Linked DNA regions of Coturnix japonica. The protein of the gene in region 2 purifies or fractionates together with the protein of the main gene of each other region. This does not show direct contact. Links are inferred from orthologs where the notes say so. Each region holds a gene or a part of one and is shown on either strand. Other genes may lie near its edges.

Region 1 (3,814 bases), on a different chromosome or scaffold from region 2:
TTACTAGTGACAGACAAACCTTTAATACAATTAAAGATTAAAGGGCATCACAGAAGTCAACTACCTGACAGGTCTAAAGCTTTAGGGCTGCACACAGCTCTGGAAATTGAATTTTTGACGTGTTTCCTTTAGGCAGTTACAGCTTTAGCATTTGGCAAGCCATTCAAAATAGGCCATTTGATGCCCCAGGTATAGGGAAATCACTAGGAAAACAAGGTAGTATATCCTAGGCAACAAAAAGCTAACTGACATACACATACACTACAAGACCAAGAATCCACAATAAACCTTATCTCTGCAATTTTAATTGCTTCAGAATCAGAAAGAATACACAGTGGTAAGGAAATAATATTTTAACGTGTAAAAATAAACACTAAGTAACTTACACTACCCATATCTGTCTTAAAATGAGACAAGTTGTTCTACTCACAGCCACAGACAACATCTTTCATATAGAACAAATAGCTGTGTGATAGAGAATTAAACAAGACTAAGTAATTAAAATGAAAAGAAAAAAAAATAAAAATAAAAAAACAACTTACGTGTATGGAGACAGAGGTCCTAACAGGACTTTGGAAACATCCTGTTGTCCAAGGGTCATGAGCAGCAGAGCAAGGCTCTGGTTTGTTGAATCAACACAACCTCCCTGTAAACCATAATGTTTTAATAATTAATCTCTGTACAAACCAGAAATTGAGATGGGAGGAGAGTAATGGAGAAGAAAGATACATTTAAAAGGTTGAATTACTGCTCTCAGTTTTCAAGGGCCAAAAAGATAAAAATCTTGATTTTGTAACAGTGACAAATTCATTTCACCTAGCAGGTTGGGAAAGAACTAAACCAAAACCCATGAATAATGTCAAAACAAAGTACTCTCTCTCATCTCTTCCTGTTCTGTTCAAGCATTACAAAACTGAAGCATGGAAGTGTTTCTGAACTTTAATAAACAGCTTTAAAGCAAAAGGATGCCATGAAATTCTGAATTTCATTGGTTGCAGATCCAGAGCCACAGTGTAGTCTGTCAAAAGTTTCCTGCTAAATTAAAACAAATCATAAGCCCACTGAACATGCTGTCTGGAGAAAGCAAAACTATAGAGGCTGCTAACTGGAAGTTAGCTTTGTGGGCAAAGCACAAACTTAACATTTTAAGAAATATAATTATTCATAAAAGCAAATTTTTTGAAATTTGGAATTCCAAATAAATTTTGGGATAGACTAAGAAAACACAGTGATGTGACAATTTGAACACATTCACTCAGTGAATAGGCAGAAAAAATGACTATTTTAGTGAGAGATACTGATAGTAATTTTCAAGATGGTTTTACTTCAGCGTGGCAAGTCTCACTGTTCCTTGGAAATATAAATTCAACACCCTGAATCATACAGTTGTCGCTATAAGAAAGGCCTTTAAGATCTTCCTTATATCTAAGCTAAAGGTACCTCCACTGCTGCAACTGCTGCAACTTGCTGCAACCCTTATGTTCTATTAGTTGTCAACCAAGAAAAGAGACCACTACCAACTTCACAGCAGCCCTCTCAGTTAGATGTAGAGAACGATAAGGTCCCCCCCAGGCCTCCTCGTCTCCCAATTAAACAACTCCAGTTTCATCAGCCGCCTCTAATATATCTTTTTTTCTAGTCTCTGCACCAGCTTAGTTATCTTTCTCTGAATGCATTCCAATGACCTGACATCCTTCTTTTAATGAAGGACCCCAAACCAAACAAGGAACTAGTGGCTCTGTCTCCCCTGTGCTGTGTCCAAGGGAACAGTCCTGTGACCCCAATGCCTTAGGTTGGAAGGGACCTTCAAGATCTCTTAGTTCCAACCTATTGTGATGGACAGGGCTGCTACCCACCAGATCAGGTTGCCTAGAGCCCTATACAGCCTAGTCTTGAATGCCTTTAGGAATGAGGCATCCACAGCTTCTTAGGGCAGCCTGTGGCAGTGCCGCACCACCCTCTTGAGTGAAGAATCTCCTCCTAACATCTAACCTAAATCTCTCTTATTTTAAAGCCATTCTCCCTGCCACTGGCTTTCTTGGACACCCGTGCACACTACTGGCTCATATTTCTCTCTGCAGGCAGACAGCTCTGGTGCAGCTGCATTCCACACTAAAGCAAGGAATTGACTGTGCCTATTCAGGACAACTGAATTCCTGTCAGCGACAAGCTGCCAGACACAACTGCCTTCCATGTGGCAGCAGCTCTGACATGGTGGGGGCAGGGCCAAGAGCAGCAGCATCACACCCTGAAATTAGAAAAGCAGCCTGTGGGGAGCACAGCTCCCAGCAGTGCTGAAAACAGTGGGCAAACAGAGCATGGTGCAGCAGCTGGCACAGGCAGGACAGATTATCCCTCCCCAGTCCGGGGATTGGCTTACCTATCAGCTGCCTCCCAGACAACAAATCTAGCCATGGTCTCCACTAGGCAGAAAGCTCTTGCCAAAAAGAATGCAGCTACCCAGACTGAGTGCCTGCCCAGAAATAGGGCTGTTTCAGTCTCTTGGTTGCAGGGAGTGTCTGAGCCTGCTGCTGCCCCCGCAGGATGGCAGATACACCCGCATGAGTTGTGAGCCTATGGATGATCTGCTCAGCATAGGGACAGCTCAAGGCGGAGGTGGAGAGATTGAAGAGCATCAGGGAGTATGAGCAGGAGACAGACTCCCTACTGATTATTATTCCTTACTGATAGTTCAAGCTGGCAATAATGAAGCCACTGAGAGCCTGAAAGCTATCAAAAGTGACTTCAGGGGACTGAGGCAGTTAGTGGACTAAGAGTGGGAGTACAGGTGGTATGTATCTTCCTCTAACCCTTCAGGTGCAAGGAGGAAATTGACAGGACTGGGAAAACCCATCTGATAAATACATGGCTGAGAAGCTGGTGCCACCACAGGAATTTTGGCTTTTTTGACCATGGGGTGGTTTACTCAGCACCTGGCCTGATGGCTGCTGATGATGTCCATCTAAGTCAAGAGGAAAAGAATTCTGGCCCAGGGTCTGTCTGGGCTTATGTGCAGGGCTTTAAATGTGATTTAAAAAGAGAAGGGGGTAATGGTGAACTTGCCCATGAAAAGATGTGGAATAGCACAGCTAAGTTAGAAAAAAGGTGCTAGTGGAGACCCTCAACCTGCTGTATCTTATGATACGTGTACTAGGCAGCAAGTTGGCAGGCCTCATCACTAGATTTGACTGGGGGTGGGGGAGACTGTGCTTCTGAGGAACAGAGAATAATCAGGAAACACTTTAGGAAGTAGCAGGCAAAAACCTCAGATTTTTCCTAAGGGAATTAAGGAGGGCTCTTCCAGGAAGGTAATGAGGCTGACAGCCCAGCTGAAAAGCCTCTATACCAAGACATGCAGCATGGGAAATAAACAGGTGGAGATGAAAACCATGGTGCAATTGGAAAACTACTATCTTATTGCTATCACTGAAGCATGGCATAGCACACGTACCTGGAATACCATAACTGAGGGCTATGAGCTTTTCAGAAGGGATGGATGAGGCAGGAGAGGTGGAAGAGTTATGATGTTAAGAAGTGCAAAGACTGTTAAGAGCTGCCCTTGACAAACAGTCATGAACAGATTGAGAGTTTGTAGTTTAAAGTCAGGGACTGGACCAATAAAGGGCACCTGGGGTCCGGATCTACTACACACCACTTGATCAATGGGAGCCTGTGAATGAGGCCTTTTTGCTTCAGCTACAAAGGTATATTACAAAAGCAAGAATCATATATGCCCTTTTCAACTTCTTTTTTGATGCCTAGCAAAAAGAGCAATTTAGCACTTCACATAGCAAGTCTCAAATTTCCTACATGG
Region 2 (4,280 bases):
AAGTAAGAGGCCTGAACTTCATAACAGAGATGAAACGCCCCAAGTTATGAATTTCCTGCTTTTGATACTCTCCGTGAACCATCCCAGACAGATAAAACAGCTTAGCACCCTAAATACATTCAAAAGACATTAAAATATTAAACATGAATACAATACTTGCTAAACTGGAAAAACCTAATGCAATTCTGTTTCAGAAATCATTATTAAAATCTACAGAAAATGACTGAGGGATGCCATACCGGATATACTTCAGTCCAGAATCTGTGCTTTAACCTCTTTTTCGTCTTCTTTAACTGTTTGTTGTTCTTGAATGTATCCAGGTGGGTAAGAATGCCCATAATTTTGGGAAAGCCGTGTACCTGACAAATGTTCAGGAATTCAAACGTCTCCATCTCAAACCCAAAGCTGGCATCAATGAGCATCAGAACCTGAGAACACAACATAGGCAGCTCATGGTTTAACACCACTACAATGTCCACATGAGCTAAATTCAAAGACTAAGCCTTTAAAGTCATAAGCTGCTCAGAAATGAAAAACTAGCACAACTTCTGCTACTGATTTTCAAATAGCCTGAAAATCAACATGGGCTTTTTAATTACAGTATGCTTCAGAAGTTAGTACCAGTTAGGGAATCAAATCTAATTTTCCAGTCAAACAATCTCCTGTACAAAGATCTCATTCACTGAGTAGAATTGTAGAAAATATAATATAGAGTAACCTACTAAGGCCTGGACTACTTGGTGAATTTAAACAATGAAAAACTGAGCACCCTCCAATAACAGCAGGATCATTTTGCAGGATCATTCTTCTATGAAGAAGTACTTTCAACATAAATTACAGTAGAAATCACAAGCTATTTGTAACTTACCAGATCAGCAACTTTAGCCAGGTCAATCATTGTATTAACATCGCACCCACATTCAATAATAGTTAGCCTGCGTTTCTTACCTGAAAACAAAAGGAGCAGAAACTCAAAGAGAAAGGAAAGGAATTACTGCACTGATTTCTTTTTGGGTTATACTCCTGCAGTCTAGAAAGTGGACTGCCAACTACGTGCAATGGTAAAAGTATTTGTTTTCAAATGCTTGCAATTCTGTGCCACGTTACCTTTGATGTAAAATTATCAGGCTGAGCACATGGTTTCCAACAAGTTGTTCTGCCTTTTCCAAAAACAAAGTAACAACAGAAGACAAGTCGCATTTTGAAGGAAACCTCTGCTTTGTTTTTTATCTTTGTATCCCAGACCAAAGAGAAAATCCAATTCAGCACATTTTTCCCATCCCATTTATTCCTTTTCTGTCTTTTTATTGTCTATCATTCCTGACAGAAAGCAGATTTATTAGTTTAAGCCTCTCAGGAGTCCACCAACAGCAGACACAACTGCTGGGGTTCAAGCAAGAGTTCCCTTACAATCTTCTTGAAATGCTGTGGGTTGGGCTCCTCCTTGGACCTCAAGGATCCAAATGGCAATAAAGAAGAAAGGCCAAGAGGCAACGGCCAAGTACAAGCTGGGACTGAAAACATAACAAACAAAGGAACACATTTAGATGAACAAAAGCCCAAATCTAACAATTACTTTACAGTTAATAAGTGTGTTTGATAACACAGCCAAATGACTTCTTCAGTATGACTAAGAATCAAGAGAACGTGAACACGTCCTAGTTCTAAAAGCAAGAGAACAACGGAGCATAAAATAGGCATTTCCATTTCTTATATCTCTGTTCTCACCTGAAACAAGAGTAACAGGGCCCCGGATTTCAACCAATTTTTGTCTTGTGAAGTTCTTAATGAGACATTTTATTAAGGTGCTCTTCCCAACCTTGGGAGGGCCAACTACAACCACCACCACTGGAGGTGGCTCCAACGGAGTACGGTCAACCACCGGGATGTGATGTTTTTTAGTCTTCAAATCCTGAGTTCTGAGAAGAAATTTAAAACAAGTACAAGAAGTAATTAAAAAAGGCAATAAATATTCATTTAGAAAATCTTCAGTATCTGTAAATACAAAGGCTCACCAGCTGCCTGGCTATCAACATGACCAAAGAACTATGACTAAGCCTAAGGATCTCTATGGACATTGCTTTTTCCTGGTAAGCTTAGCAGGTAATACAGATGCAGGATGCACCACACTACTGACAAACACATAGATTACAGCACAGCCTTGTCAACGGGGAAAGCTCTGTGAGCCTATCTGTGAAAATTACACTACGTACATTTATAGGTAAAACATTTATACATTTATACATTATATATATACATTTATAGGTAAGGAAGCAGCAGCTAACATTATTACCATGAAATCACATAAACATTGGGAGAGACCTTAAAGCTCACTGGTTCCAACCCCCTACTGTGGGCTGGCTGTAGGGCTCCATCCATCCTGGCCTTGCATGCTACCAAGGATGGGGCACCCACAGCTCCATGCAGCTGTAAAAGGCCTTTACCTGTCCACCTAATGGACTGCGTGCTCTGTAACTAATCCCTGCTGCTCACCTATGGAACGTCCTGGCCATCCGCACAGCGGACTGCACTGTGAAGGCTTTGGGGTTTCTCTTCCGTGCATCCTCCTCCTCTCCAATCCCCAGATCATTCAGATGCCGTTTCCTTTTTTTCTCCGCTTTCGGCCCGCTGTGCTTGGCACGGTGCTTCTTCTTCTCCTTTTCCTCCATCTTACTCCTTCAACAGCCGCCTACAACCAGCGTGGCATGGAAGGTTTCCGTCTGACCGAGCCCCGTGCTGCGAAGCGGGGCGTACAGAACGCTGAGCGCCCACCCCGCTCCCCGGGCCCAGCACCGCACCACCCGCCTGCACACCGCGTGGGCCCGCAGCGCTTTCCGGCCTCCTCCGGAAACAAGAGACCGCACCCGGCGTTCCGGAGGACACCGCGAACACTGAGGCGGTGCCGCCTGCCGGCTGGAACACTGCAGTGCCCTGTGTGTGCAGGGGTCCTTGTACCTCGTGTACATAGAGCTGACACTGTCCGTGTCACAGCGCCCGCAGCTTGTGCACTGGAACAGGCTGCCCATGGAGACTGTGGATGCCCCAACCCTGCAGGCATTCAAGGCCAGGATGGATGTGGCTCTGGGCAGCGACCCTGCACCTATGCTGGGCTTCTTTGTGCACACATCTCTCTAGGAAGCTTCCCCACAGAGATAACCATTTTCACTAATAAGATAATGCTCCGTGTTTAAGTTTCATTCTCTTATATTTATTTCATGCTATAGAAAAGCAGTTCACAGTGTACATATTAGAATCTAGGCACATGTAAAGCATTCCAGAGTCATATTTTAAGCATTAAAAGAGGATTTACGTGTATAAGTTTCAGCGTGATGTTGCTTTAACCCCCTTAGAGCTACACACCCCCCAGACTGGTAAGATCACACCGGTCTTACAGATGGCTGTGGAGGTCTAGAAGGCTAAAAACAGGGCCCTGTGTGTCAAGTGCAATGAACACAATGACACTTTTACCCCCAGTGCAGATCTACAAGTTCAATATAACCCCGGTCAATACCCTTCCTTTGGGAAGTTGAGAATCGATTTGTTTGGTGTTGGTTTGTGTTTGTTTTTAATTAAATTAGATCAACGCAATATTAGCAAATGATTTGAAATATATATATGTATATGTACACACAACAGGAAATCACAAAAATAAAGCCTTCTAAAAGGCTATAAAATCTGGTCATTTTGAAGTGAAAATACTATACATTAAATACCCAAGAAGACACCAGGAGTGCCCTTTACCAGGAGCACACCTAAAACACAAATACACCCAGGCTGCATATCCCACACTCAGACAATCTTGCATTCATGCTATCTCCACTAGACACTCTATATAAAATCAGTACAATCTTGTGCGGTGAGACTACAAAACCAACTCAGCAGTCCAAAGCCTCCTGGTAGAATCCAATGCAGTCTGGGCAGCAGAAGACAAAAGTCTTTGGTACCGAGGTATTGTACTGAGGTATGTCTGTACACACAGGTTAATGTGAAGCTACTGAAAGCCAAATGTCCACAGCGGTGCTGGTTGGTGACAGTCCCAGCAGGACAGGAGAGGAACTGGCAACGCACCTCCCACAGGTTGCTCTCTTGTGCACATTGCTGGCTTTCCTCACCTTCCTTTCCCTTCTATACAGCGTGTGAAGCTTACAGCAAGCACTCCATCCTTCCACCTGCAAAACCTCTAACCTCTTTGGGACAACACTGCCAATCAAAGTAAAAGATGATTTTCATCATAGATTCATGCGTAACCCAAATGACAGGCGGAATTCTGGCCGCCCAAA

What was found.
Region 1: the proteins of BMS1 (region 2) and RCL1 purify together in Homo sapiens (co-immunoprecipitation; 4 studies listed by BioGRID and IntAct, with this or other methods). This does not show direct contact. The link is inferred for Coturnix japonica from reciprocal best matches to the Homo sapiens genes BMS1 and RCL1.

Annotation. Positions count from the first base shown.
Region 1 is NC_029547.1:24,742,797-24,746,610, reverse strand, and holds part of RCL1 (RNA 3'-terminal phosphate cyclase-like protein), read right to left. Parts: intron 647-3,814; coding exon 543-646; intron 1-542. UniProt on the Homo sapiens protein: As part of the small subunit (SSU) processome, it plays a role in 40S-ribosomal-subunit biogenesis in the early pre-rRNA processing steps at sites A0, A1 and A2 that are required for proper maturation of the 18S RNA.
Region 2 is NC_029521.1:4,146,202-4,150,481, forward strand, and holds the start of BMS1 (ribosome biogenesis protein BMS1 homolog), read right to left. Parts: upstream 2,821-4,280; 5' UTR 2,670-2,820; coding exon 2,494-2,669; intron 1,920-2,493; coding exon 1,729-1,919; intron 949-1,728; coding exon 869-948; intron 429-868; coding exon 240-428; intron 110-239; coding exon 1-109. Other genes in the region: uncharacterized protein LOC107315604, read right to left, coding at 4,238-4,280. UniProt on the Homo sapiens protein: GTPase required for the synthesis of 40S ribosomal subunits and for processing of pre-ribosomal RNA (pre-rRNA) at sites A0, A1, and A2.